4 linked regions of the Anolis sagrei genome follow. The protein of the gene in region 1 purifies or fractionates together with the protein of each later gene. This does not show direct contact. Links are inferred from orthologs where the notes say so. Each region holds a gene or a part of one and is shown in the gene's direction. Other genes may lie near its edges.

What was found.
Region 2: the proteins of USP13 (region 1) and SMC3 purify together in Homo sapiens (affinity purification with mass spectrometry; 4 studies listed by BioGRID and IntAct, with this or other methods). This does not show direct contact. The link is inferred for Anolis sagrei from reciprocal best matches to the Homo sapiens genes USP13 and SMC3.
Region 3: the proteins of USP13 (region 1) and BAG6 purify together in Homo sapiens (affinity purification with western blotting; 3 studies listed by BioGRID and IntAct, with this or other methods). This does not show direct contact. The link is inferred for Anolis sagrei from reciprocal best matches to the Homo sapiens genes USP13 and BAG6.
Region 4: the proteins of USP13 (region 1) and SMC1A purify together in Homo sapiens (affinity purification with mass spectrometry; 5 studies listed by BioGRID and IntAct, with this or other methods). This does not show direct contact. The link is inferred for Anolis sagrei from reciprocal best matches to the Homo sapiens genes USP13 and SMC1A.

What each region holds. Positions count from the first base shown.
Region 1 is NC_090023.1:257,655,462-257,663,529, forward strand, and holds the start of USP13 (ubiquitin carboxyl-terminal hydrolase 13), read left to right. Parts: upstream 1-4,873; 5' UTR 4,874-5,032; coding exon 5,033-5,197; intron 5,198-8,068. UniProt on the Homo sapiens protein: Deubiquitinase that mediates deubiquitination of target proteins such as BECN1, MITF, SKP2 and USP10 and is involved in various processes such as autophagy, endoplasmic reticulum-associated degradation (ERAD), cell cycle progression or DNA damage response.
Region 2 is NC_090023.1:209,666,176-209,674,351, reverse strand, and holds the start of SMC3 (structural maintenance of chromosomes protein 3), read left to right. Parts: upstream 1-5,152; 5' UTR 5,153-5,242; coding exon 5,243-5,257; intron 5,258-7,636; coding exon 7,637-7,712; intron 7,713-8,176. UniProt on the Homo sapiens protein: Central component of cohesin, a complex required for chromosome cohesion during the cell cycle. The cohesin complex may form a large proteinaceous ring within which sister chromatids can be trapped.
Region 3 is NC_090022.1:19,009,645-19,016,958, forward strand, and holds the start of BAG6 (large proline-rich protein BAG6), read left to right. Parts: upstream 1-4,013; 5' UTR 4,014-4,325; intron 4,326-4,512; exon of another isoform or gene 4,513-4,615; intron 4,616-7,314. UniProt on the Homo sapiens protein: ATP-independent molecular chaperone preventing the aggregation of misfolded and hydrophobic patches-containing proteins.
Region 4 is NC_090022.1:175,069,562-175,077,000, reverse strand, and holds the start of SMC1A (structural maintenance of chromosomes protein 1A), read left to right. Parts: upstream 1-4,064; 5' UTR 4,065-4,218; coding exon 4,219-4,327; intron 4,328-7,161; coding exon 7,162-7,350; intron 7,351-7,439. UniProt on the Homo sapiens protein: Involved in chromosome cohesion during cell cycle and in DNA repair. Central component of cohesin complex. The cohesin complex is required for the cohesion of sister chromatids after DNA replication.

The sequences.
Region 1 (8,068 bases):
GAGGCCCTGCTCTCAGTCCTGCCACCATCGCAGTCATGTTTGGTGGGGATGAAAGACAGGGCCTTCTCCGTGGTGGCCCCTCAGCTGTGTAACTCTCCCTAAAGAGGTTAGATCTGCCCCCTCCCTCCTGACTTTTCGCAAGACATTTAAGATGTGGCTGTGGGAGCAAGCATTCGCAGAATAGATGGTTTTAATTGGCTTAGATGAGATTGTATGGACCACATTTTTTGGACTGGTTTGGAGCACGCTTTAAACTTGGCAAACCGTTTTTAAATGTATATTTATTACCATTTTATGTAATTGTGTATTTTATTGGTGTTTTTATATTGTTGGAAGCCACCCTGAGTCCCTATTCGGAGGTCGTGAATAGGACGGGATACAAATGTTCTAAATAAACAAACAAACACATACATAAATACTGTAAATAAATAAATATGCAAACTGAAATACAGATTATTTCTGGTCCAGGTAATTCAAATAAGGGATACTCAACCTACACCTGTTTTCCCCCCAAAAGTGGATGTGGAAATTATTCAAACCATTAGAGGGCAGCATTTATTCAACCTCAAAGGCCACCTATTCTTATTTAGCGATGAATAGAACTTCAGTTCAGAATGTATCAAGCTGTACAATCTAAATATGGAAGAAATAAAAAGCAATATTTGGCACATCCTCTAGAAATGGAAGAGTATTTTGTTTCAGTTCATTGTTCTGATCAGAATTTATGAGCATCTGGATGTTAGAAAAAGCAGAACTGACTTGGTACTGAGTGTCCTTTGACACTACATCCATTGCACTGCAATTCCATTTTCACGGATGCATTCTATGGAATTTTAAATTACAAATCTCAGACCTCTCCTGGAACAACTTTGTGTCCAGTTCTGGGCACCGCAATTTCAGAAGGAACAAGCCGGAACGTGTCCAGAGAAAGGCAACCAAAGTGGCAAAAGTTCTGGAAGACAAGTCCTGTGAGGAGCAGTTTAGGGAACTGGGAATGTTTAGTTTGGAGAAAAGGTTGAGAAGGGACAAGAGATCCATGTTACAATATTTGAAGGGGAAAAACTTATTTTCTGCTGCTCTTGAGACAAAGGGCCTTTCCAGACAGGCCCTGTATCCCAGGATCTGATCCCAGGATTTCTGTTTATCCCAGATTATCTGGCAGTGTGGACTCATATAATCCAGTTTAAAGCAGAAAACCTGGGATCAGATCCTGGGATATAGGGCTTGTCTGGAAGGGCCCTAGGACACAAAGCAATGGATTCAAACATCAGCAGAAGAGATGCCACCTAAACATTAGGAAGTTTGCAGATGACACCAAATTGGGAGGGATAGCCAATACTCCAGAGGACAGGAGCAGGATTCAAAACGATCTTGACAGATTAGAGAGATGGGCCAAAACTAACAAAATGAAGTTCAACAGGGACAAATGTAAGATACTCCACTTTGGCAGGAAAAACGAGATGCAAAGATACAGAATGGGGGACAACAAGTTAAACATGAGCCAACAATGTGATGTGGCGGCATCTCTCAGGGGTGATTTGAATGCAATATTCCTGCTTCTTGGCAGGGGGTTGGACTGGATGGCCCATGAGGTCTCTTCCAACTCTTCGATTCTATGATTCTATGAACTGGAGGGCTTGCTAGGGAGATGTCTACTCAAGTTTTTTAAAAACCCAAATATTCATGTTTTGTTGGTTTTTTACTTTCCTGGGGGCCCTGTTCCCCAATCTCAGCAAATATGGTGGGATCACTGTACATTTAGAAACTACAACTTCCAGCATTTCCCATTCTGAAAATGCCAGCTGAAGTCTCATGGTTCTCAAGCAGGGAGAAAAAAGCCCAGCACAAGAAGGAAGGCTGGTTCATGTAAGGTTCAGATACCAAACAGGTACCTGAGCCATCCTTCTGGCATTAACAGTAACTCCTATTCAACGTGACAGCTGCCATTTCTGATATTTTTCTCTCATTGTCCCTATTGTCTGCTTTATCACATTTTCTTCTTAGCAAAATGTCTCTTTGAGGCCTACTCTTCCCTCCTGGCATCTCACTTTCTGCTGCAAGTGAACGGCCCATAAAGGAAGGAGATGACATTGATGATGCCCATAAGTACCACATGGCCTTGCCCTTGTGCCATAGGGTTGGCTTTCCAGCATGAGATTCAGAATTTTCTAATTCAAAAGAAAAATGAAAAGGTGGACAGAACTACAATATTTCTTTTCAGTATCATATCTCAAATACCTCTCCTGCTGTGCTTTGTCGTTCTGTGAGCAAGCGTGCTTATTTATTTTGGGAGGAGTGTGATGGAGTTGTTTTAGCATTGAATGAAATCCATTGGGTGATCATGGGGAGGTCACATTCTCTCAGCCTCAAGAGGAAAAGGTAAAGCTTTCCCCTGACATTAAGTCTAGCTGTGTCCGACTCTGGGGGGTGGTGCTCATCTCCATTTCTAAGCTGGCATTGTCCGTAGACACCTCCAAGGTCATGTGGCCAACATGATTGCATGGAGCTCCATTACCTTCCAGCAGAAGTGGTACCTATTGATCTAATCACATTTATAAGTTTTCGAACTGCTTGGTTGGCAGAAACTGGGGCTAACATTGGGGTGGGGGGTGTCTTCTCCGACTGCCATTCCCAGAACCCTCCAAACTGAATCCCCTGTTGTGGGATGGGCAATCTGACAAGGCATGGTTAGCTTGTAGACTCCGATAAGCCAACAATGTGATGCAGCAGCAAAAAAGCCAATGATGATTTTGGCCTGCATCAATAGGAGTATAGTGTCTAGATGCAGGGAAGTCATGCTACCCATGCTCTATTCTGCCTTGGTCACACCACACCTGGAATCACACTGTGTCCAATTCTGGGCACCACAATTGAAGAGAGATATTGACAAGCTGGAATGTGTCCAGAGGAGGGTGACTAAAATAAAAGGGTCTGGAGAACAAGCCCTATGAGGAGCGGCTTCAAGAGCTGGGCATGTTTAACCTGCAGAAGGCTGAGAGGAGACATGATGAAGGCCATAGTTCAATATGTGAGGGGAAGTCATAGGTAGGAGGGAGCAAGCTTGTTTTCTGCTGCCCTGGAGACTAGGATATGGAACAATGGCTTCAAACTACAAGAGAGGAGATTCCACCTGAACATGAGGAAGAACTTCCTTACTGTAAGAGCTGTTCAGCAGTGGAACTCTCTGCCCTGGAGTGTGGTAGAGGCTCCTTCTTTGGAGGCTTTTAAACAGAGGCTGGATGGCCATCTGTTGGTGGTGCTTTGAATGCAATTTTCCTGCATTTTGGCAGTGGGTTGGACCAGATGGCCCATGAGGTCTCTTCCAACTCTAGGATTCTATGCTCCATATGTATATCCCTGTCTGTAAGTTCTTGTTTTGTGAGGAATTGTGAGAAATAAATAATCTTTACAGGATAGATGAGATTGTGGAACTCTCCTGGTCACAGTGAATGCTTTTGACGCAGACTATTTATTTATTTATTTACTTCATTTATATACCGCTTTTCTCAGCCCTCAGGTGACTACTGAGACCGACATTGATTTTACTTCTTTCTATAGGAATCAACGAGTGCATAATGTGAGTTTGAATCCCTGGGCCCATGAGATTGCATAGCAAAAATAAAGGGCCAGCATGCAAATAGCATCGATTTTGAATTTGCAGGGGTATCTGATGTGATCCGAGTTTGATGGCAAGCAGGGGCGGTTCAACCCATTACGCAAAGCAAGCATTCGCAGTATAGTTGATTTTGCCCAGGGGTGATCTTGAGGCGCTCTTGGGGGGAAATAGACCTTGACATATGCGAGTTGTAGTTACTGGGATGTATAGTCAGAAGCAGCCGTAGGTAATTTTCAATGGTAAGCAAACAGTATTTTGGTGCCCCCCCCCCCCAAACCAATCATTGATATATATTTTCTGCTCGTCATGGGATTTGGTTGTGCCATATTTGGTTCAATTCCATCATTGGAATTCCACCAGAATGCTCTTCAATTTGATTTTAGATTTTAGGTGAACTATACATCCCAGTAACTACAACTGCTCTTTGATTTTAGGTGAACTATACATCCCAGTAACTACAACTTGCATATGTCAAGGTCTATTTTCCCCCAAGAGTGCCTCAAGAGCGCCCCTGGGCAAAATCGACTATACTGCAAATGCTTACTTTGCGTAATGGGTTGAGCCGCCCCTGTGTAGAGTTCACCTACAATCAAAGAGCATTCTGAACTCCACCAATGATGGAACTGAACCAAATATGGCACACAGAACTCCCACGATGAACAGAAAATATATATATCAATGATTGGTTGGAGGATGGGGCGCCAAAATACTGTTCGCTTACCATTGAAAATTGCCTAGGGCCGCCTCTGATGGCAAGTTAAAAGAAAATGAAAGAAGACCCCCCCCCCCCCCCCGCCAAATTCTTTACTCCAGATACAGAGTCTTGATCTGGACTGCCCACAATGAGAATAAAGGGAGGGATCTGTAGTCAATGGATGGTGCTTTGAAGTCAAGACTGAACACAGTTTGATCTCAATACAGAACCTTACCTCTGGATGTGTGTGAACCAGTAACATTGGGAAACAAGCTTCAGGGATAAATACAATTGACCTCATTGGACCTTCAAACGAATAAATGTTAGTAGGAATATGAATATCAAGCAGGCATGGGCAAACTTAGGCCCTCCAGGTGTTTTGGACTTCAATTCTCACAATTCCTATCAGTCCATAGGCTCATGAGGTCTCTTCCAACTCTGGTTGCCCAGGAACGCACCCTTCCCCAGGAATGAGCCTGGGAGTGACTGGCGAGGCTTCCTCTGAGCATGTGCAGAGTGCCTCTCCCTTCCTCCTCCCTCGGGGGCCAGGAGGCAGGCTCCGAGGGCGTGGCTGGAGGAGCCTTGGCGCTTCTCTCTGGGCAGCTGCGGCTCCCTCCGTCTTCCGCCGGGTTAAAGATAGCCTCCCTCCCTCCTCCTCCTCCTCCTGCTTCTCGTCCGGCCAGGAGGGCTTTCTCTCTCTCTCTCTCTGTCTCTGTGGGGCGATGGAGCGGGCGGCACTGTTGGGGTCCGGGCGGGAGGCAGCGGTGGGCCCGGAGATCGCGGGGGACGTGGGCGAGCTCCTGGTGCCCTACATGCCCACCGTCCGGGTGCCCAAGACCGGGGACCGCGTCTACAAGGCCGAGTGCGCCTTCTCCTACGACTCGCCGGTGAGTCCCTTCCTCCCTTCCTTGCCTCCTTTGGGCTGTGGGTCCCTTGCCTTTTTCCAGAGACCCCCTCCCTCCCTTGACACTTGCTTCCAGGCCTTGGCGGGGCCACCCATTCCCCTTTCCAGGGGGTCGCATGGTACTTTCTCCTAGGACTGTCTCTCCTAATTGGCTTTTGAGAAGTGTTTGGGGTCTGGGAAAGATTTCTGCAGAGAGATCCCTTGCACATGGGTCTCACCACATTTAGCTTTTCTTTCCTTGGCTTTGCATGTTCTCTTTAGTGCTTTTGCTGTGAGTTTTCCGGGCTGTCTGGCCATGTTCCAGAAGCATTCTCTCCCCACGTTTCGCCCACACCAATGGCAAGCATCCTCAGAGGTTGTGAGGTCTGTTGGAAACTAGGCAAGTGGGGTTTATCTCTTGAGTGCTCTTGCTGTGAGTTCTTCGGGCTGTCTGGCCATGATCCAGAAGCATTCTCTCCCCACGTTTCGCCCACTCCAATGGCAAGCATCCTCAGAGGTTGTGAGGTCTGTTGGAAACTAGGCAAGTGGGGTTTATTTCTTTAGTGCTTTTGCTGTGAGTTTTCTGGGCTGTCTGGTCATGTTCCAGAAGCATTCTCTCCCCACGTTTTGCCCACAGCAATGGCAAGCATCCTCAGAGGTTGTGAGGTCTGTTGGAAACTAGGCAAGTGGGGTTTATCTCTTTAGTGCTTTTGCTGTGAGTTTTCTGGGCTGTCTGGCCATGTTCCAGAAGCATTCTCTCCCCACGTTTCGCCCACACCAATGGCAAGCATCCTCAGAGGTTGTGAGGTCTGTTGGAAACTAGGCAAGTGGGGTTTATCTCTTGAGTGCTTTTGCTGTGAGTTTTCTGGGCTGTGTGGCCATGTTCTAGAAGCATTCTCTCCCCACGTTTCGCCCACGCCAATGGCAAGCATCCTCAGAGGTTGTGAGTTCTGTTGGAAACTAGGCAAGTGGGGTTTATCTCTTTAGTGCTTTTGCTGTGAGTTTTCTGGGCTGTCTGGCCATGTTCCAGAAGCATTCTCTCCCCACGTTTCACCCACACCAATGGCAAGCATCCTCAGAGGTTGTGAGGTCTGTTGGAAACTAGGCAAGTGGGGTTTATCTCTTTAGTGCTTTTGCTGTGAGTTTTCCGGGCTGTCTGGCCATGTTCCAGAAGCATTCTCTCCCCACGTTTCGCCCACACGAATGGCAAGCATCCTCAGAGGTTGTGAGGTCTGTTGGAAACTAGGCAAGTGGGGTTTATCTCTTTAGTGCTTTTGCTGTGAGTTTTCTGGGCTGTGTGGCCATGTTCTAGAAGCATTCTCTTCCCACGTTTTGCCCACAGCAATGGCAAGCATCCTCAGAGGTTGTGAGGTCTGTTGGAAACTAGGCAAGTGGGGTTTATCTCTTTAGTGCTTTTGCTGTGAGTTTTCTGGGCTGTCTGGCCATGTTCCAGAAGCATTCTCTCCCCACGTTTCGCCCACACCAATGGCAAGCATCCTCAGAGGTTGTGAGGTCTGTTGGAAACTAGGCAAGTGGGGTTTATCTCTTTAGTGCTTTTGCTGTGAGTTTTCTGGGCTGTGTGGCCATGTTCTAGAAGCATTCTCTTCCCACGTTTTGCCCACAGCAATGGCAAGCATCCTCAGAGGTTGTGAGGTCTGTTGGAAACTAGGCAAGTGGGGTTTATCTCTTTAGTGCTTTTGCTGTGAGTTTTCTGGGCTGTCTGGCCATGTTCCAGAAGCATTCTCTCCCCACGTTTCGCCCACACCAATGGCAAGCATCCTCAGAGGTTGTGAGGTCTGTTGGAAACTAGGCAAGTGGGGTTTATCTCTTTAGTGCTTTTGCTGTGCGTTTTCTGGGCTGTCTGGCCATGTTCTAGAAGCATTCTCTCCCCACGTTTCGCCCACAGCAATGGCAAGCATCCTCAGAGGTTGTGAGGTCTGTTGGAAACTAGGCAAGTGGGGTTTATCTCTTTAGTGCTTTTGCTGTGAGTTTTCTGGGCTGTCTGGCCATGTTCCAGAAGCATTCTCTCCCCACGTTTCGCCCACAGCAATGGCAAGCATCCTCAGAGGTTGTGAGGTCTGTTGGAAACTAGGCAAGTGGGGTTTATCTCTTTAGTGCTTTTGCTGTGAGTTTTCTGGGCTGTCTGGCCATGTTCCAGAAGCATTCTCTCCCCACGTTTCGCCCACACCAATGGCAAGCATCCTCAGAGGTTGTGAGGTCTGTTGGAAACTAGGCAAGTGGGGTTTATCTCTTTAGTGCTTTTGCTGTGCGTTTTCTGGGCTGTCTGGCCATGTTCTAGAAGCATTCTCTCCCCACGTTTCGCCCACACGAATGGCAAGCATCCTCAGAGGTTGTGAGGTCTGTTGGAAACTAGGCAAGTGGGGTTTATCTCTTTAGTGCTTTTGCTGTGAGTTTTCTGGGCTGTGTGGCCATGTTCTAGAAGCATTCTCTTCCCACGTTTTGCCCACAGCAATGGCAAGCATCCTCAGAGGTTGTGAGGTCTGTTGGAAACTAGGCAAGTGGGGTTTATCTCTTTAGTGCTTTTGCTGTGAGTTTTCTGGGCTGTCTGGCCATGTTCCAGAAGCATTCTCTCCCCACGTTTCGCCCACACGAATGGCAAGCATCCTCAGAGGTTGTGAGGTCTGTTGGAAACTAGGCAAGTGGGGTTTATCTCTTTAGTGCTTTTGCTGTGAGTTTTCTGGGCTGTGTGGCCATGTTCTAGAAGCATTCTCTTCCCACGTTTTGCCCACAGCAATGGCAAGCATCCTCAGAGGTTGTGAGGTCTGTTGGAAACTAGGCAAGTGGGGTTTATCTCTTTAGTGCTTTTGCTGTGAGGTTTCTGGGCTGTCTGGCCATGTTCCAGAAGCATTCTCTC
Region 2 (8,176 bases), about 48 Mb from region 1:
CATCTTTCAATCTCTTTTGCTGTCCACTGACATTCCATTTTCATTTCTTAAGCTGAGAGTAAAGTAACTGCTTTGGGAGATGGTGATCAGGCATTCGGATGATGTATTCTGCTTAGCGAAGTTGATGGCAGAGAATCATCACTTCAGTGTTGATGGTCTTTGCTTCTTCCCAAACACTGATGTTTGTCCGTCTGTCTTCCCAAGAGATTTGTAGGATTTTTCAAAGGCAATGCTGACGGAATCTTTCCAGAAGTAAAGAGTGATGTTTGTAGATGGTACATGTTTCGCAGATACACAACAGCCCTCATCCTCTACTGCACAGATAGTAAGGGATGGACCCAGCACCCAGCCCTATAGAACGTCATTGAAGACTTCCTTCTACTTCAAAGAACAGACATGGATTGTGACTTTTTGAACATAGTTTTCCAACCAATCACAGCTCCATTTCACAGTGTTTACATTTATTCCACATTCAATCAGTTCTCTAACTAAATAATCATGAAGAAATGTATAAAATGCATTGTTGAATTCCAGATAAGACATCTAGGGCAGTAGTTCTCAGCCTGTGGGTCCCCAGATGTTTTGGCCTTCAACTTCCAAAAATCCTTACAGCTGGTAAACTGGCTGGGATTTCTGGGAGTTGTAGGCCAAAACACCTGGGGACCTAGATCATTCTAGAGCATTCCTAACACCTAGTGAACTAGTGACCAGATCAAAACGAGTATGATTAATTTGGCTAAATTTGCTCTCAACAAACCCATGATAGCTCTCAGTAATCATGCAGAGTCATACAAACCCTTGCAAACAGACTCCTTTATAATCAATTCATTTTTTTTCTCCTGATAGTGCAGTCATGCTGAGTGGTTTGCAGTTCCCTGGATTTTTTTCAACCTCTTTTGAAGAGAGGCACAATGTTTGCTCTTCTCCAGTCCTCTGGCACCTCTGTTCTTCAACATTTCTCAATCTTTCAAAATAAATTATACGAGGAACCTGTATTTTTTCCAAAATACAGTGTTCCCTCAGTACTCTGCAGTTTGCTTCCTGTGGACTCACTGTTTCACGGTTTTTCCAAAAAAAAATTAATTTAAAATACAAGTCCTGAGGGAACACTATATACACAGATCTATAAACCCCACTTGCCGAAGTAGCGCTGGTGAGAGGTACGGAGAGGGACGCCAAGGCAGCTTCCACCGGGGCTTCTTCTTCTTTCTTCTGAGGTGGAGAAGGCCACCGCCAAGGCAGCTTCCATCACGGCTTCTTCCTGGTCGCTCTTCCTCGGGTGACCAGGTGAGAGCCCCATGCCAGTGGGGAAGCGGGGGGGGGGGGGAAGAAGGGTGGCTCCAGCAAAGGGATGGGCAGGGAAGGAGGAAGAGAGGGGGAAAGAGGAGAGGAAGAGAAAGAGAGAGGAGGGGGGGGGAGAGTAAGTGGAGCGATACTGTACATATACAGTATAGCATCCCTACATCGTGGTTTTTGGACATATTCTTTGCTGACCACATTTTTCACATGTCCGTGTTTGATATTGTTTGGCTGTAGTGTGCCCAGATATTTATAGGCTTCAGGCTGATTGCACTTTATGGTTTGTCTATTTAGCATCTCTATGCCTGTGATATCGAGCTCTTTTGGGAGGGACTTCCCAGCGGGGAAGATCCCTGGAGATCGCAAAAGGGATCTTTGACCTTGGTGAGCTGCCAGCAAAAGCCAATCCAAAGCGCAAAATATTAAGAATTAATCCCACCAGAGGCTGAAGAGGTATCCAGTGACCGAAGCGTTTATTTAGCGATTCAGCTGAAAAGGATGCATTACAGGGATATTTCCTCTATAAGCATGCAGTACAGTGAATTTCAGGTATATTTATACAGGCAAAACAAAGAAATCCTGGTTTGAATCTCCCGCCCGCCTCCTGTCAGTTCCCTCTGTCCTGATTGGCCGGCTCCAGAACAGCTGGGAGGAGGCTTGGCCGCTGGTCCCGCCTTCCCTCCAATCGCCGGCCGCTGTCGCTTCCAGGGGGCCAATCAGAGCCCTTGGAGCGCCTCCGGAGACTGTCCAATCAGCGGCCAGGAGGCGGGACGTATCTTGACAGCGCAGAGGGGCGGATTTGCCTGGAGGCGTCCGCCAGCTGATTGAACACCTTTTGTTCTTCGCACGGCAGGGAGGCGGAAGGGGAGACAAGGGATTTCCTGGGTTCCGATAAAGGATGTGTATAGGAAAAAAAAGGGTGGCTATGGGTGGTGTCTGGATCTCAACCCTGTGGCGAAGGGAGTCCTTTGTCACAGGGGAGCGTACACAAAACACCATGATTGATTTAATCAGTCTGTTTTTCCGGGCCTTTTGGCTGACAGATTTCTGGCTTTTGTTCGTCTGACTCTGAAAACAAAGCCATAGATCTGCCAGTCTTTGTCCATGCAATGTAAATATGAATGGAGTTTCTTCCAAGGAAATTGGATTTCCTTAACTGTAATCCCAGGTCACATACTTTAGTAGGGTAAAGTTCAGAGGGAGAAAAGGTGGGGGAGAGGGTCAGGGTACATTTCATAGATTTCATATTTTTCCATATCATATACATTCTTCATAAACTTTCATAAGCTCATAGATTTCATAAAGGGGGGTCCCCATCCCATCCCCATCCCCATCCCAGCAAAGTTTATTAGAAGCAACAACAATTGGCAAAAGCAATTCATCAGAGTTCCTGAGGTATGATCTGCTTGGCAAGGACACACACACACAGGCGGGGGCCATTCTCCCCAAGCGGCTTGGCCTTGAGTTCGTAGAGGAAGTTCGTGATAATAGGACATCAAGTCAATCAGTGAGGGCAGAAAGGTCCGCAAAGAGTCTAAAATGGTGGAGAGTGGGGCAATGTCCTTTGGGGAACTGCATTTCCCTGATCAGGGGCCAGGGTCCAGTGCACAAGCCAGAGAATTCACAGAGAGGAAACAGGAACCCAGTTATGTGTGCTGGGTCAGGAAGCAGCAGAATCCATTTTCCGGCCCTTGGTGAACTACAAATACTTGGGGGGGAAGATGCTCTGCATCACCTGCACTGTTAGGTGATATTAGGCTTTAATTCGATATTAGGTTTTAATGTATTTTCATATATGTTGGAATTCAAACTGAGTCCCATCAGGAAGATAGACGAAATACAAAAAAAGTTTATTGTTATTGTTATTATTATTATTATTAAGGTAAAGGTTTCCCCTGAAATTAAGTCTAATCGTGTCCGACTTCGGGGGGTTGGTGCTCATCTCCATTTCTAAGGCAAAGCCAGTGTTGTCCGTAGACACCTTCAAGGTCATGTAGCCGGCATAACTGCATGGAGTACCTTACCTATCTACCTACTAGACTGGAATAAGCTGGGCCTAACAGTAGAGCTCACACCGCTCCTCGGATTCGAACCGCCAACCTTTCAGTCAGCAAGTTCAGCAGCTCAACGGTTTAATGTGCTGTGCCACCAGGGGGCCCTATTATTATTTTTATTATTATTATTATTATTATTATAACATAATAGTACACAGCAAACAAGATCACTACGCTGACTTTTGTTTTTGTTCACACTTCGGACACTTCCCAAGTGTCTAGGACTGTGTGATGCATTGTCGCATAATGCATGCAGATCTGAATTGGGTGGCCTTTTGCAGCTGACAGATCGTAATTTTGTCAGTGCCAATTGTTTTTAAGTGCAGGTCAAGGTCTTTAGGCACTGCGCCCAGTGAGCTGATCACCAATGGGACCACCTTTACTGGTTTGTGCCAGAGTCTTTGCAGTTCGATCTTTAAATCCTTACATTGTGTCACTTTTTCTAGTTGCTACTTGTCAATCCTGCTGTCACCTGGTACTGCAACATCAATGATTCATACTTGTTTTTTTCCCACGATCGTAAGGTCAGGAGAATTGTGCTCCAAAACTCTGTCAGACTGAATTCGGAAGTCCCAGAGTAATTTGACGTGTTCATTTTCCGTAATTTTTTCAGGCTTGTGATCCCACCAGTTCTTTGTTGCAGGCAGATGGTATTTGTGGCACAAGTTTCCTATGGACCATCTGAGTAATGCCTCTGCTTGTAGTCCGTCTGCACAATCTTCTTGCGGCAGCTGAGGATGTGATCCATTGTTTCGTCTGCTTCCTTGCAGAATCTACACTTGGAATCAGTGGTAGACTTTTCAATTCTGTCTTTGATGGCACTGGTTCTAATGGCTTGTTCTTGGGCTGCAATAATAATAATAATAATAATAATAATAAAGCCATTCTGGCTCTTTTGGAACTTATGGAAGGAACTCCATACTGATGTCAGTGCTGAAGATTCTGACCATGTTGGTCAGTGACTGGATTTTCAGTAACTGCCTTACTGTTGTTGTTTTTTTGTATCCGAAACTGCAAGTCGCTTCTGGTCTGAGATGATTGGCCGTCTGCAAGGACGTTGCCCAGGGGACGCGCTGATGTTTTTGATGTTTTACTGTCCTTATGGGAGGCTTCTCTCATATCCCCACATGGGGAGCTGGAGCTGACAGAGGGCGCACATCCATGCATTATTGTTGTTGTTGTTGTTGTTATTGTTGTTGTTGTATGGAGCCCCCGGTGGTTAAACCCCTGTGCTGGCAGGACTGAAGACCGACAGGTCGCGGGTTCGAATCCGGAGGAGGCGGATGAGTTTCCTCTATCAGCTCCAGCTCCTCATGCGGGAACATGAGAGAAGCCTCCCACAAGGATGATAAAAACATCAGTTCATCTGGGCGTCCCCTGGGGAACGTCCTTGCAGACGGCCAATTCTCTGACACCAGAAGCGACTTGCAGTTTCTCAAGTCGCTCCTGACACGACAAAAAAAATGTTGTTATTCTGCGAGTCGCAAAACAGCGCCCTCTGGCGGCAGCTGCGCTCCCTGCAATCGCGCCGCCTATTCCTCCCTGAGGCTCCCCCTCCTATTGGCCGCACTGGCTTTGGCGCCCTATTTCGCTCATGCCGGGCCGAACCAAAATCCTACCGAACGGGGAGGCAGAGATGGTGCTTTATTAGCTTCGATTTTAAATAAAGGGCAGTCACCACAAGTACAGCAACCACTTCGTCTTTTGGGAAGGTCTGACCCGTTTCCTCTGCCTCTTTCCGAGGCTTTTGCTGCGTTTTCGCCAACGATCCTCCCCTCTTTTCCTTTGCAGAGTGGTACGTTCCACAGCGAACGGGAGGGGGAGGCTTTGCCGCCATTTTGTTCTCGGTGGGCGCAGTGACGGGGAGGAGGGAGCTTTTCGCCGCCGCCATGTATATCAAGCAGGTAGGAGGCCCTCAGGTTGTGAGGGGGAGGCTTTTTTTTTCTTTGGAAACAATAAAGGACGGTTGGGAAGAATTCATGGCTGCAAAGCGAGGGACTGGTGGGGTAAAAAAAAAAGGGGGGCTGGGGGTGTTGAGGCGACGAAAGCCAGGCCCTGAGACTCAGTTGAGGCCCTCGTTCTCTGTAGAATGACAGCATCAGCAGGGGATTCAGCCTCACCGGCGGGCCTTGTTTACTTTCTGTGGTAAAATGAAGTGGTAAACAAGAAAAGTTGAGGCCTCGGCTGGTTGATCTTTTATTTTATCTCCCACAATAACCTAAAGTTTCCAAAATGTAATGAACATTGGGAGGGGAGTGGGACGACGACGGCGACACGCAGGCCTCATCTACACTACCATGCGATGCAGTTCGGTGTAGTTAAACGATTATATGAGTCTGCACTGACCATATAACGTAGTTTCATACTGCATTATATGGCATTGCAGATTAGGCTTCATCTGATGCTTGTTGGTGCTGGCTGAGGGCCCTTCCACACAGCCCTATATCTCAGAATATCAAGGCAGGAACTCCCACATTATCTGAGTGTGGGCTCAGATAACCCAATTCAAAGCGGATATTGTAGGATTTTCTGCCTTGATGTTCTGGGATATAGGACTGTGGAAGGGCCCTGAGTGTGGACTTAGATAACCCCCAGGATCCTTCCACACAGCCCTATATCCCAGAATATCAAGGCAGAAAATCCCACATTATCTGGGGCCCTTCCACACAGCCCTATATCTCAGAATATCAAGGCAAAAAATCTCAGTTATCTGGGGGGCCTTCCACACAGCCCTATATCCTAGAATATCAAGGCAGAAAATCCCACATTATCTGAGTGTAGACCCAGATAACCCAGTTCAAAGCAAATAATTGCAGGATTTTCTGCCTTGGTATTCTGGGATATAGGACTGTGGAAGGGCCCCGAGTGTGGACTCAGATAACCCAGGGTCCTTCCACACAGCCCTATATCCCAGAATATCAAGGCAGAAAATCCCACATTATCTGAGTGTGGACTCAGATAACCCAGTTCAAAGCAGATAATGTGGGATTTTCTGCCTTGATATTCTGGGACAGGGGTCCTCAAACTAAGGCCCAGGGGCCGGATATGACCCTCCAAGGTCATTTACCCGGCCCTCGCTCAGGGTCAACCTAAGTCTGAAACAACTTGAAAGCACACAATAACAACAATCGTATCTCATCAGCCAAAAGCAGGCCCACACTTCCCATTGAAACACTCATAAGTTTATATTTGTTAACATTGGTCTTCAAAGGAGTGGATTATAATAAAAAATGAATTCCTATGCACACTGCACATATCTTATTTGTAGTGCAAAAAACATTTAAAAACAATATAATATAACCAGAAATTAAATAATAACATAACCTGTCAATTAATTTACATCTAACGTAAAAAATAAATATAAATGTATATAAAACCTCAAGTTAACATTCATTTAAATTAGTTATTAAAATCATTATGCGACCAATAAAATCAACAGAGCCAACAGAACCAATATCTGCTTTAAACTGGATTATCAGAGTCCACACTGCCATATAATCCAGTTCAATGTGGATTTTATACAGATGTGTGGAAGGGGCCTGAGTCTCCACTGCCAGATAATCTGGGATAAGAGGATAATCTGTGATCAGATTCTGGAGTATAGGGGCATTGTGAAAGGCACCAGAGGCCAGAGTATTTCTTGTCCAGAATGCTTAGGATCCAGAGTTAATATACCACTATATAACCCATGCATTTCGACACCACTTTAACAGCTGTGGCACAGTGCTATGCAATCATTGGAGTTTCAGTGTTATAAGGTCTTTGTAAGTCTTCTCATCAAACTATGAATCCTAGAATACTGGAGCATTGATCCATGCGAGTTAAATGGGTGTCAAATTGCAGTAATTCTGCAGTATAGATGCTTTTGTACCATGCTTTCCCCTTCTAGAAGATTAAAATAACTCTGAAGCTTTAGTTAAAAATCATGAGTTTTAATCTAAAAACACTGATATATCAAGACTTTCTGTCTCAACTACAGCTGAAATCTCATTCTGAAGATTTTGTTAAAAACCGAATTTAACATTTAATCTTAACGAGATTGCACACTCATAGTTTTGCTTCACCTGTTCTTGAAGGCTGCATAATGAAAGTGCAGGAAGCAGGCTACCATCACAACGTGGTACCTGGTAATTGTATTGTTTTTGTACGTACTGTGGAAATGATAGAAATGAATATAGCAAATTTACTTCTTATCCTTTTTGAGACATTGTACTTTTGAAAGCTGTAGTTGATAATAAATTGTATTTATGAAAGTTTATTTAACATAAATGTGTTTATTTCAGGTGATCATCCAAGGATTTCGCAGCTACAGAGATCAGACTATAGTAGATCCTTTCAGTTCAAAGCATAATGTCATTGGTAAGTTCCTGTAATACAAAGGCTTATGCAGCATTTAAGTATAACTTTTAGAGATGAAATTGACATTTGATATATTTCTTCCTATTCAGAATGAAACTGATTGCTTTTTCTTATCTGATTGCTTTTTCTTATCTGGCACATTTGTTGTTATTTTTAATGTTACATAATTTCATGGGTTAGTGCCCCTAGATCAGGGGTCCACAAACTTTTTAAACAGAGGGCCAGGTCACAGTCCCTCAAACTGTATATTTGAAAAAAAATGAATAAATTCTTATGCACACTGCACATATCTTATTTGTAGTGCAAAATCACTTAAAAACAATACAATAATTAAAATGAAGAACAATCTTAACAAATATAAACTTGTTAGCATTTCAATGGGAAATGTGGGTCTGCTTTTGGCTGATGAGATAGGATTGTTGTTGTTATGTGCTTTCAAGTCATTTCAGACTTAGGTTGACCCT
Region 3 (7,314 bases), on another chromosome or scaffold:
TAAACAGAGGCTGAATGGCCATCTGCCAGGGGTGATTTGAATGCAATATCCCTGCTTCTTGGCAGGGGGTTGGATTGGATGACCTATGAGGGATTGGTGTAGAGAAAGGGGGATTGGTGTAGAGAAAGGGGGCGGACCTTTGGAAAAGCTGACAGGAAAAAAGTAGCGTTTTAAAATCTGGAGGCTTGTGTGTGTTAGAGGAGGGAGTTGGAGCGGATAGTTAGGAGAGAGCAGTTTTAGATTAGGAATAGCAGTGAAGAATGAGGAAGAAGTCTAACTTGGAAATAGATTCTAGATAGTTACTTCATAGGAAGGACTATAGCTAGACAGTCCCTGAGGTATTGCGCTGTTTGTAGGGAAGAATCTATTTTGAGGGGAAAATATAAATTCCCAGTTTTGAATTTGTGACTGAAACTGAAAACTGTACTATTTAATGCAACCGATAAGCTTTTTGTACCTGAAATACTTTCAAGACTGTTTAATAAACTTGTTATTCTATTTTCACACTACCACAGACTGTGTGTGAATATATTAGATAAAAATATAACCTCTCTAAAGCGAGATCGAACAGCATTGTAACATAAAGAAATGTTACTTGGTTTCCCTCAGCACTAAAAATAGAAAGTTGGCAGCATAACCAAACAGAAGAACAGTTTCAATATTTCTCAGTCATCATCCATTATACAGACAAAAACTTACACAGTTTATGTTTCTCCCTGTTAAACAAAAGTAAATAAGTAAATAAGTCTTTATAATTTGATTTGGCAGCTAGCGGGATCCATTAAGTGATCCAGGTATAATATTGGTGGCAGCATTGGTGTATCGTTTGATCTGTTGTAGGGGCAACGAAACCAGAATATTTCCCAAAAGGCAGAAGCCCCCTTTCCAATAGGGAGGGCAAGGATGGACACCACGAAAGTTGAATCCTTTAAATTGCAAAAAACTATTTATTATTGCGTGGCCATAGCAATAACGACAAACAAGCATACAGGGATGCGATCAAAGGGTTTGTCGCTGATATCGAGCTCTTTTGTGGGGCTCTCCCAGCGGGGGAGATCCCTGAAGACCGCTAAAGGGGTCTTTTGACCTCGGTGAGCAGCCAGCGAAAGCCAATCCAAAGCGCAAAATATTAAGAATTAATCTCACCAGAGGCTGAAGAGGTATCCAGTGACCGAAGCGTTTATTTCTGCAATTCAGCTGAAAAGTGATAGTTCACATACAAGCATACATTCACAGAAGTTCCAGGCATTTTTATACAGTCAGAACAAAGGCAAAACAGTTTGAAAATCCCACCCGCCCTCTGTCAGCCGGCTTCGCCCTGATTGGCTGGCCCCGGAACAGCTGGGAGGAGGCTTGGCCGCATGTCCCGCCTCTTGACCAATCAGCAAGCGTTGCTGCCTCCTAGCGCCTCCGAAGATGGTCCAATCAGCAGACAGGAGGCGGGACGAAGTTTGGCAATCCGGGGGAAATGGGATGCCCCAGGGGGCATCAGCCAGCTGTTACTGGGCCTTTGTTCTTATCGATGGAGTGGCAGACAAGGGGGACAATGGGTTTCCCCCGGCCCATGATTGGATTTGGGAGAAAATATGAAAAGGTGAAAGAAGGGGCTATTGACGGCGTTCGGACCTCAGGGGATCAACAAACACCACAAATTGAGTTAATCAATCTTTCTTCCTGAGTCTTGTTGACCCATCTCTCATCTCATTGTCTGCTCTGAAAACAAGCCTCGAGACAGAATCAATCACGGGCCCATGCAAATGTAGATATGGACTGGTTTTTGGAGGACAAAGGATTTCCTCTCTGTTGGCAGTAATCTTTGGGTCACATTCCTTTTGGGGCGAAGTTCAGAGGGAAAAGGTGGGGAGGGGAGTCAGGGTACATTTTATATGATATTCCACTATATACATTTTATATGCTTCACATACTTCATACATTTCATGAGTGAATTCCCATCCCCATCCCAGCAAAGTTTATTAGAAACAATAACAATAATAAATGCATTTCATTTTGTCGGAATCATAGTCTTCTTGGTGAAGGCGCATGTAGGCTGAGGCTGCTTGTCCTTCCAGGCAAGCCCGGTCTGAGGTTCGTGTCCAAAAGTGTGGCAGGGAAACAGTCCAAGGTAATAAGGCAGAAAGTCAATAAGTGAGGGCAAAAGAGTCCAAAGAGAATTTCCAAACTGCAAGTGGTGGGGCAATGTCCTTTGGGAAACTACATTTCCCTGATCAGGGGCCAGGGTCCATGCCTGGCCGCCTTTCCGGGACTCCTGCGAGTGGCCGCAGTGGGTCCCTGGCTGTTGGATCCAAGCGGGAGTGAGCGCTGCCGCGGAGGAGTGGAAAACCCAGTCAAATTGACAATCAGCTGTTTCTCTGCAAGATAAAATACTTAAAACAAAACTAATTTTTCCCGGGTGAAGGAGCCCAAAACGAGAAAAGGGAGATGACAGTTAGTCTTAGAATTAGTTGTAGAAAATTATAAAATTGGAACGGCGGCGATCCGCCATCTTAGGTGTTTTCGTGGATAAGGGGGTCTGAAATGGCGGTTTCTGTATCCGCTGATTGGGCGAACACAGATCCGGGGTCCGGGAGGCGCCTCCCGCGGGCTCACGGCTCTCCGGAGCCCAAAAAAAAAGGTTTATTGCAATGTTATTTTGTTAGAGTCAAGAAAGGATACAAAAGTAGCATGCGGGAAGATAAAAAGTTGCAAGTTTCAAGTACTTTTATTAGGGGAATGTTACAAGGCAGGCAGAAGGGAAAGCGAGGAAAGGCTGAGTGCAGTCTTGTTATTGAACTGCCTGTTGGAGCACATTTCACCTGTTTCTTCCAATTGTGACAACCAGGAACTGCGGAACTCTCCGCTGAAGTGCAGACCAGTCAATGGCGGGTCCCCCCCGCCATCATCGCCACCCCCAATGGGTCTGCAAAACATTTATAGTAAATGGAATATACATTTTCATTGGTTCCCAAAGACAAATCATTTCATTGGTCTAAGCTAGCTATGCAGTTGTTCATTAGTTGTTTATGATTTTGATTGACATTATAGCACACGTGGGATCCTAACAATGGCACAACTATAACATAACTATGGTCCATTGTTCTCTGACCATAACTGTATCTTATCTGTTAGTCTGTTGCAAACATGGCTCCAGAGCGACTGGGAAACTTGGGGGTTCTATCTAGCAAACAGCTAGCTGGTTTTGTCCGGATATACTGTTATCCTTGAATAGTAACTTCTTCTTTGGAGCACTGATTTCTCAAACAATCAGCATTTTCTGTGAACAAAGGCCTACTGCAGAAATAGGCCAATATGGTCGTAAATCATGACATATGGGCATTGGGGAAATATCTGAAAATTCCCTTTTAAAAACCACGTCTCCTCCATTGTGATCGATCTTTATATGGTCCCTATATAGAGTTGTCCACCACAACCTCCCAGACAAGGGATACCTCCAGGCAGCAACAGCCAGGCTTTGCAGCTGCAAGGCTACCCCTAGGAGTTCTTTTATTACAAGGCATTTAGAGTTCTCTGGCAGAGAATGCTAATAAATATTTCATAAAAGTGCAAATCCCACTCAGTGTAGGTAGCATTCAAAGAAGTGTCGAAACTGCTATCTTTCTGCAGGCTGTACAATGGCTAGGAAGGAAAAACGGAAGCGGAAACGCTGTCTGCTTGAATGTGCGGGGAACCGAAACAAAGATGGCGGAAGCGACATGCCCTCAAGTGTCATGGCGGCTCAAGACTTCCTCGCCTTTCTGTTCGCCAGCTTGCGTGAGCGTTAATGACGTCACAAAGAGGGGGAAAAAGCCTAGCCTGCGACGAGTAAGCAGTGCGCATGCGTGGCTCTGCCAAACCCCCCTACCGGGGCTTGACTAATATCGAGTCCTTAAGACTTTATAATAGGATGCCGGCCATATTTTTAATATCGTCAAATGTCCACGATCTATATCACATCTCGAGGCGGGTACTGATATGATAGGGAAACAATCCCAGGCAGGCACTAACGTAGACAGCTATATGTAGGAAACGGGGGCTTGAGCAAGGGGCTGGCTGCGCATGCGCAGTGAGGGCGAGCCTGAGACGACGGCAACACTTCCAGGAGGAACTCGCTCCGAGGCGCGAGGGAGGCGGCCGTTTCGCCCCCTTGCGACGGCTTCGTAGCCTCCTAAGACTTCGGGGAGGAAAGGGCCGTCCCGCGAGAAAGAGAAAACGCCGGGGAAGTCGGCGGCGACGAAGGCATTCCCCTCCCCCCCTCGCTGGGTGGTTGCCGCTGAAGGGACCGGAAGCGCCGCCATTTTGGAGAGGTGCGAGTTCTTAGAGCTAGGAAGGTATAGACAACCATAGGATTCACTTCCGTTTTTTTGGATTTCCCGATCTTCCTGTTCTTTCTAACAGAAATAGAAGAAGCCCGCTTTGAAGATAGAAAGGGATTTGGCTGTAGAGTTTCCTCCTATTCATGGGTCTGTGGTTGAGGTTTTCCTAACTAGGTTCGTCTGTCCCAGGTGTGTTTGCCCATGCCTGGTCTGACCGGAAGTTCCTTCTTTTGGGAGCCCTAAGCAAGGCTTTTCAGCTGGAATTAGTTCCTCTTCGGCGGGAAGGGAACAGAGGAGGGGGACAGGTAGGAGAAGAACGAATGTTGGGAGGCAATGTATACAATAAACTAGCTTAGGCATTTGGTAAGGATAAACATTCGAAAAATTAATTGCATAAGGATTTGGGTAAACTGCAGCTCCCATCATAGAATCATAGAATGCCCAAATTTGAATACTTTGAATGAGATTGGAGGGATTGATTTTTTTCATTTGGGAGTTGTAGTTGCTGGGATTTACAGTTAACCTGCAATCAAAGAGCATTCTAAACTCCACCAATGATGGAACTGAACCAAACATGGCACGCAGAGCTCCCATGATCCACAGAAAGTACTGGAAGTGTTTGGTGGGCATTGACCTTGAGTTTTGGAGTTGTAGTTCACCTACATCTAAAGAGCACTGTATCCTGAAACAATTGATGGATCCAGACCAAACTTGGCACGAATACTCCATATGCCCAAATATGGGGTTTGAGGAAAATAGACCTTGACATTTGGGAGTTGTAGTTGCTGGGATTTATTGTTCACCTACAATCAAAGATCATTCTGAACCCCACCAACAATTGGGTCAAACTTCCCACACTGAACTCCCATGACCAACAGAAAATACTGTGTTTTCTGGTGGTCTTTTGCAATCCTTCTGACACCCTTTTGCATCCCCCCCCCACAAGGTCCCGACCCCCAGGTTGAGAAATGCTGCCTTAAGGCCATCCAATCCAACTCCCTTCACCAGGGCAGGAAAAGAATAACCAATGCCCTCCTGACAAACAGACATCCAGCCATAGATATAGATAGATATAATTCACACACACACACATCCATATGTATACTAGCCATCCCCTGCCACGCGTTACTGTGGCCCAATCATAGAATCAAAGAGTTGGAAGAGACCTCATGGGCCATCCAGTCCAACCCCCTGCCAAGAAGCAGGAAAATTGCATTCAAAGCACCCCTGACAGATGGCCATCCAGCCTCTATTTCAAAACTTCCAAAGGAGGAGCCTCCACCACACTCTGGGGGGGGGGGGGTAGGGAGTTCCATTGCTGAACGGCTCTCAAAGTCAGGAAGTTCTTCCTCATGTTCAGATGGAATCTCCTTTCTTGTAGTTTGAAGCCATTGTTTCGCGTCCTAGTCTCCAAGGAAGCAGAAAACAAGCTTGCTCCGTCCTCCCTGTGGCTTCCTCTCGCGTATTTATACATGGCTATCATATCTCCTCTCAGCCTTCTCTTCTTCAGTCTAAACATGCCCAGCTCCTTAAGCCGCTCCTCATGGGGCTTGTTCTCCAGACCCTTGATCATTTTAGTCGCCCTCCTCTGGACACATTTCAGCTTGTCAATATCTCTCTTGAATTGTGGTACCCAGAATTGGACACAATATTCCAGATGTGGTCTAACCAAAGCGGAATAGAGTGGTAGCATGACTTCCCTAGATCTAGACACTATGCTCCTATTGATGCAGGCCAAAATCCCATTGGCTTTTTTTGCCGCCACATCACATGAGTCAACAATGTGATATGGCGGCAAAAAAAGCCAATTGGATTTTTGCCTGCATCAATAGCATAGTGTCTAGATCTAGAGAAATCATGCTACCCATGCTCTATTCTGCTTTGGTTAGACCACACCTGGAATATTGTGTCCAATTCTGGGCACCACAATTCAAGAGAGATATTGACAAGCGGGAATGTGTCCAGGGGAGGGTGACTAAAATGAAGAACGAATGTTGGGAAGCAATGTATACAATAAACTAGTTTAGGCATTTGGTAAGGATAAACATTCGAAAAAGTAATTGCATAAGGATTTGGGTAAACTGCAGCTCCCATCATCCTCTGGCTCGTCTTGCTGGGATGAGATTAGGAGGTACTGTTTTTCCAGCTCACCTTAAAGGGGTTGTAGTAAAACCTTTTGCTAAAACATCCAGCACTGAACCCTACTCAATTAAATAATAAATGGCCAGTTTGAAATCTCCCCATCCTGGGCAAGGTTTTGGAGAGAGTGGTAGTCTCTCAGCTCCACAGTTTCTTAGAAGATACCAATTTTCTGGAACCCTTTCAGTCTGGATACAGAACTGAAACTGCATTGGTCAACTCAGCGGATGATCTACAAAGAGAGCTAGACAGAGGGAGTGTGTCCCTGTTGGTTCACATGGACCTCTCAGCAACGTTCAGTACCATTAACCGTGGTATCCTTTCAACTGAGATGGGGCTAGGGAGCACTATTTTACATTGGCTCCGTTCTTTCCTAGAGGACCGAATGCAGAAAGTGGTGCTGGGGGATACCTGTTCAACTCTGCGGCAGGCTAGACGGCTGGCCCCCTACCTGTCCAGGGACGACCTAGCTACGGTGATCCAGGCTATGGTCATCTCAAGACTGGACTACTGTAACGCCCTCGACATTGGCCTTCCTCTGTCGGTGATCCGGAAGCTCAAGTTGGTACAAAATGCAGCTGCTCGGCTTCTTGCGGGAATTCCGATGAGATGCCACATAACACCAATCTTACTACAGCTGCATTGGTTACCAATTGAGCACCAGATCACTTTCAAAGTGATGGTACTCACCTTTAAGGCCTTGCATGGTCTGGAGCTGATGTACCTGAGGGACCACCTCACCCCCTACCAACCCCAGAGATCCTTCCGTTCTGAGGACCAAGATCTATTGGAAATTCCCAGTGTCAAGACCTTGCGTCTAACAGCAACCAGACGCAGAGCCTTTACAGCAGTGGCACCATCACTC
Region 4 (7,439 bases), on another chromosome or scaffold:
TCATCTGCAATCAAAGAGCATTCTGAATCCCACAAACAACAGAACTGGGGCAAATTTCCCACACAGAATCCCCATGAGCAACAGAAAATACTTAAGACCATCCAGTCCAACTCTCTTCACCAGGACAAGAAAATGTAATCAGAGCCCTCCTGACAAAGAGCCATCCAGTCATAAATATAGATAGATATGATTCACACACACAGATATAGTACAGATACAGATATAGTATCATAGATTTCAAAGGGACCCCTAAAGAAGGACTATGATATATTGCATATTCAAGAGTAGTCAAACCAGACAATCTCCACATCAACACTGACAAAGAAACAACAAGAAATACTGTTTACCCAAAAGCACTTACATACATTACAAAATTACATACATTAGAAACCAATGCTTTCTCATTACTTTATTTTCCACATCACCAGACTGGGCCACAGCAACGCGTGGCAGGGGACGGCTAGTCTATATAAATAAAAATATAATGTTCGTTTATGGGATTAACATAACTCAAAAACCACTGGACAAATTGCCACCAAATTTGGCCACAAGACACCTACTAACGCAAGGAATGATCATCACTCTAAAATTGTCATATAAAATCCAGGTTATCCATTTTGAACTTGATTATATGGTAGTGTAGACTCACATAATCCAGTTCTGTGGATTATCTGCTTTGATAATCTGGATTATATGGCAGTGTAGAAGTACCTGAAGCTTTCTCTCCAATTCTTGCTTCCACAACAAGCCACATTTTTCAAAATCCAATTATCACAGAGACAGAAAGTGAGGGGCAATCTTTTGAACAGGGGCACAGACAGCAAAACAAACACCCTTCCCTATGCTATCCAAAGCAAATGGACTGGAGTTTCATTTTAAAAAATGTACCTGTTCTGACTTACATACAAATTCAACTTAAGAACAAACCTACAGAATTTATCTTGTCCGTAACTCAAGGACTGTATGTATACTAATCTATTTTAATGTTTACTATACTAAATGCTTGTAGTTGTCCAGAGTCTCAAGCAAAATACTTTTAAAGTCACACCACAGAGATGGGCCACCTGAAACCATCCATAAACATTTAGTGATTTTTCACATGCATCTTATATGTCTAGTGCTTGAAAATAACTGAGTGCATTATATTTTAAAATAAATGTTGTTCATGAAATAGCACATTATCAATTGGAGCATTTTGAATTTCAGAATTCCAATTAAAGGGTAATCAGCCTTATATTATGGCCCCTTCTACACTGCCATATAAAATCCAGATTATCTGCTTTGAACTGGATTACATGGCAGTGTAGACTCATCATTATATAATATATATATATGAGGGTTGAATGAAAAGTAATGCCTCCACCTTTGTTACTTGGGTTTGGATGGGAATATTTTAATAAATCAAATGCAGAAATAATCCTTAGAATGTGCTCTTTAGCTACCACTATTCACTTTTCCACATAATCACCAGACCATTGGATACATTTCTGCCAACAATGAACAATTTTTCTGAAGCCATCATGGAAGAAGTCGACACTTTGTTTCCGAGACCCATCCTGCACAGATCTTCCGATAGCCAAGCAAAGCAATAATGTGACCCACACGTTCTTGTGAAATGCCGATTATGCTTGAGATTTCTCTCTGAGTGATACGACGATTGTCCTTAATCAATCTGTCAACCTTTTGCTTGCTGTCACAGGACGTCCAACTCTTTGTTTGTCACGCAAGTCAGATGTTCCCACCTCAAAATCTTTAAACTCACTCGCCCAATGATGCACAGTACTCACATCAACACAACCACCATAAACAGCTTGCATTCTCTGATTAATCTCCTTTGGGGTGACACCTTCTGCTGTCAAGAATTCAATGACTGCACGTTGCTTAAGTCGCATTGACCGACCATCTGCACAGGGTTCCATACTTTGCACTTTAACAACACAACCATTCAATGCTAAGGCTTCCCGCCAAAATGGAACTGTAGAGGAGAGTCTACTGAACAAGCCAGTACCTGCCGCATACCAGTACTGCCATCTGTTGAAGAGTTTCGAAGGTGGAGGCATTACTTTTAATTCAACCCTCGTATTTCTCCCTACTCCTAGATGGAATCTAGAGCTTCAGACATTATAAGCACCACATAAGTAGTATCTGCAAAAATATACCCTTATTCCTTGGAGGGAGGATTTCCTTCAAAGCATCTATTTGTTTCTCAAAAACTAATTTACATGGCTCATAATCCTCTGTGTTAAAAGAAACATATTTTGGTACCTAATCAAACAATCCAGTTCAGATCAGATAATCTGGATTATATGGCAGCGTAAAAGGGGCCTCAGTGACTATCCACAATGTGATGAGTCACTTTAACTGCCATGGCTCCATTCTATTGAATCCTGGGATTCGTTTCTTGTTGTGGCACCAGAGCCCTCTGACCCCTTCCACACAGCTGTATGAAATCCACATTGAACTGGATTATATGGCCGTGTGAACTCAGATAATCCAGTTCAAAGCAGATACTGTAGATTATCTGCCCTGATATTCTTGATTATATGACTGTGTGGAAGGGAAGGGGAAGTATCTCACAAAACTACAAATCCCAGAATCCCATAGCATTTATTTATTTATTTATTCACGACATTTATACGCCGCCCTTCTCACCCCGAAGGGGACTCAGAGCGGCTTACAAGCAAAAAATAAATACATTATATTATATTATTACCATAGCACAATATTAATATTACTAGCCGTCCCCTGCCAAGTGTTGCTGTGGCCCACATGAGGGTTCTGTGTGGGAGGTTTGGCCCAATTCTATCGTTGGTGGGGTTCAGAATGCTCTTTGACTGTAGGTGAACTATAAATACCAGCAACTACAACTCCCAAATGTTAAGATTCTATTTTCCCTAATTGGGCATATTGAGTATTCATGTAAAGTTTATTTATTTATTTAAAAGTTTTCTATACCGATCTTCTCATCTCCAAGAGGGACTCAGATCCGGTTCACAACATGTGTTCGTATACAAAAATACAAACCACACAATGTATTATCATTACACAATTAAAAACATATTACAATACAACACCGTCATCATCACACTTACACAGCCACATCGTCAAAACATTCCTGGTCATAATTCACAAAGTTTGGTCCAGATCCATCACTGTTTGAGTTCACAGTGATCTCTGGATGTAGGTGAATTACAACTCCAAAACCAAAGGACACTGCCCACCAAACCCTTCCAGTATTTTCTGTTGGTCATGGGAGTTCTGTGTGCCAAGTTTGGTTCAATTCCATCATTGGTGGGGTTCAGAAAGCTCTTTGAGTGTAGGTGAACTATAAATCCCAGCAACTACAACTCCCAAATGACAAAATCATGTTTTTGAGTGAGGGACATACATTGGGTTGTTAGGTGTCTTGTGTCCAAATTTTGTGTCAATTCATCCAGTGGGTTTTGAGTTCTGTTAATCCCACAAACAAACATTACATTATATATATATAACATTGTACTATAACATTATACTGTAATATTAGTAATATTACATTTAATATAAAATATATAATTATCATATTATTAGTAGTATTATATTGTATTACATTATAATATTATCATTATTATATGTATATACAATATATTATATTATTGAGCCATGGCAGTTAATAAGATGCTATAATTCCGCCTCTGGACTGAGACTCCCAGCATCTCTCAACAGGCCAGGGCTGCTGGGCTTTGTAGTGCCATAAAGTGTAGGCAACCTGATCAGAGGCCCCTTCCTCTGCACGACCCGACTCGCCTGATGCTCACCTTTCCTAGACGGCGCTTGCTTTCTGGTTGCTGTGACAACGAGCCACTTTAAATGATGTCATCTTTGGAAAGGGCTCATTGGCTGCGCTCGAACCTATCAGCACAGTGAGAAGTTCGGAGTAGGCGGAGCTTGCCGCAGGAAGGAGGTCCCCTGCTGAGCTGAGGCGGAAAAGGGGAGGAGCTCCGAATGCAAATTTTACGCGGCAGCGGCATCCTATCAGCGACCGCGATGTCGTAAGAGGCGGAGCCTAAAGTGAGCCGTAATCAACTCTCGCGAGGTTTCAAGACTCCCGCCCTTCTCGTGGACGGCGGCCGAGAGTAGTAATCAAGAGGGGCCTACGGGGCCTTGTGTCCCCCACCGCGCCCCGTAGTTTTGCTTTGCGTCCACCTTTTCTATCTCCCCCCCGTTTCCCCAACCCGCGGAATGGGGTTCCTCAAGCTGATCGAGATCGAGAATTTCAAATCGTACAAAGGGCGGCAAATCATCGGGCCCTTCCAGAGCTTCACGGCCATCATCGGGCCCAATGGATCCGGTAAGGCGGGCCTCCCCGGGATCTAAGGACACAACACCGAATCGCATGGCATTTCAGGGAAGGGTAGAGTAGGGAGCATGTCCAGATAACCCAGGGTCCTACCACATCCATTTGAAATCCAGATTATCTTATTTGAACTGGATTATAGGGCAGTGTGGACTTGTATAATCCAGTTCAAAGCAGATAATATGGATTTTAAACAGCTGTGTAGAAGGGGCCTAAGAGTCAAATGCTCAGTCACACTACTCAGTACCTGTAGACTGAGGGTCCTTCCAGGCAGGCCCTTTATTCCAGGCTTTCTGTTTATCCCAGATTATCTGGCAGTGCAGATGATATTGAGCCTGAATTTGGGAGAGTCTCCCCGGTAGAAGAGACTCCTAGGACTGCACCAAAGAGAGTCCCTTGTCCTTGGCGAGCCGTCAGAAGAAGCCTGATTCCAGCAATTTTATTGATATTAATAATTGAAATGAGACTCTTGCCAAGGTGAAGAAGTGGCACCGAGGTTTATTAGCGATTCAGCTGAAGCGGATGCAATTGCAGTGATCATTCACATGCAAGCATACCAATACATTGATCAGAGGCATATTTATAGCAAAATACAGATTTGAAAGTTTCAAAACTCCCTCCCTCTTCGGCTCCTTAGCAAATCAGGGAGAGGGAGGCAGGACGGAAGAGGGGCATTGTGTCCAGAGAGGATGATGACATTCCACTGTCCTTTGCCCGAGGGATCAGCCAGCCAAGGAAACCAGTTTTTTTGTTCTTGTGATGGATCAGTGATTAGGGATAATCATTTGATTCAGGTTTTCCCCTTCCAGGATCAGATAAGGTGTGTTGGTTTTGATAGGTTTTTGGATGAAACAAACAGAGCAGGGCAAGAAGACCCCTGGGGCCAGTCTCGCCCCTTTGTGATTAAATTAAAATGTGATCAGAGAAATTCCCTGTTTACCAGGCCAACTCAGAAAAAAATAAACAAAGAATTTCCAGTTGCTATTGTACATGCAAATGTCTGTGATAAGGTTGGTTTCGAGGGAACAACAGCCCCCTCAGGCACTGAGTGGTTTTTCCTGGTCGCCTTTTTTTGGGCAAGGGTAAAGGGGGCAAAAGGTATTTCATAGCAAGATACATACATTCAAATCATAAGCATTTCATAGCAACAAAACCCCATCTTTGTCCCACATCCCAAATATATTTAATAAGAGGATTAATTTTCATGAAGAAGCCTGAAGTCCAATGTTTTAAAAGGTCTTTGAGGAAAGTTCATGAGGGAGATAGTATGTACTGAAGTCCAAGACATGCAGGCAGAGAGTCCATGATCATTGGGAAGGCTAGCAGATGAAACCCCAGCTGTGCTGCAACTGATTCACACTTTGGTCCTTGGGAAACTACGACTCTCACGAAGGGCAGAAGTCCCAAGATCCAGCCGTTTCCCAAAAGCCTCGTGGGGTCCTTGTTGTTGTCAGTGCCTTGGCAATGTGACCAAGACTTAACCCCTTACTGTGCAGTCTGGTGCGCTTGCCCTTTGCAGGGCTACAAGTCACCATCCCCCATTCTGGGGGGGGGGGGGGTGCTCGGCTTCACAGACTCGTATAATTCAGTTCAAAGCAGAAAACGTGGGATCCGATCCTGGAAGGGACCTGAGTCTACCCTGCCATATAATCCAATTCAAAGCAGATAATCTGGATTTTATTTGGCAGTATAGAAGGGGCCTTCGTCTTCTTCTGATTTCTTGACTGCAGCGCGTTCTGTTTAATGAGTGAGGCAAAGTATAGAACTATTTCAGTGTTTTTTTAATTTTTAATTTATTTATTTTATTAATCGAATTTATATACCACCACTCCCTGAAGGCTCGGAGCGGTTTACAACATACATATGCAATACATTACATTATTATTATTATTATTATTATTATTATTATTAATTTTATTTGTACCTCACTAGCATCTCCCGAAGGACTCGATGTGGCTTACACAGGCAAAGGCCTCAATAAAAACATAGCATAACAAAATACACAACTTAAAACAAATCAAAGCAATTAAAGCAATATCAAACAACAAAACAATAAAACAATATACCAAAACACAAGAAAACAGGGCCGGGCCAATGTAATGGGTACAGGTTAAAATGAGTACAGGCTGATGTGGCAGGTGGTATATCAGATTTTAGGGTAAGTGCAGTGTGCGGGCAATCTTAAACTCTAATAAAGTGCTTCTGGGACATGTTACTGGAGTTTTCCTATTCTGGAAAGGCACATCGGAACAGCCAGGTCTTCAAGTTCTTCCTAAAGACTACCAAGGTAGGGGCCTGTCTGATATCTTTAGGGAGGGAGTTCCAGAGTCAGGGGGCTACCACAGAAAAGGCCCTGTCTCGCGTCCCCACCAGACATGCCTGCGACGCAGGTGGGATCGTGAGCAGGGCCTCTCCGGATGAACGAAGAGAACGTGTAGGTTCATAAACAGAGATGCGGTCACGTAGGTAGGATGGTCCCAAACCATTTAGGGCTGTGTAGGTAAGCACCTGCACCTTAAATTGGGCTTGGAAAATAAACAGCAGCCAATGGAGCTCCTTGAACATTTAAAAACAAAGAAAATAATTCAATCAATCAGTTTGTCTAACTTTAAAGTTATGAAGGTTATCTGTGGTCATTATTTTTGTTTTCTTATGTTCAACTGTAAACTAACATTTGCATTTGCTTCCTTTACCTTCTTCAGTAATAATTCGGAGTCTTTATTATTCGTTGCTAAAATCTTGAGACTAAGAAACTGTGACAATGAAAACATCAACATAATATTGATAACATGGTTTCAATTTGTTCTGTCTTTGCTGTATCTAACCAGGGAAATCAAACCTCATGGATGCTATCAGCTTTGTGCTTGGTGAGAAGACCAGTAATTTGAGAGTGAAGACCTTAAGGGACTTGATCCATGGGGCTCCTGTGGGAAAGCCAGCTGCCAACCGGGCATTTGTCAGCATGGTCTATTCTGAAGAAAATGTTGAAGATCGCACCTTTGCAAGGGTCATTGTTGGTAAGCTTTGTGGACAAAATGGGAAAATCTTAGCAGACTTCATATTTGGGATTCAAGAGGGGGTTATGTGGGGAGCTGTAGGATATGTT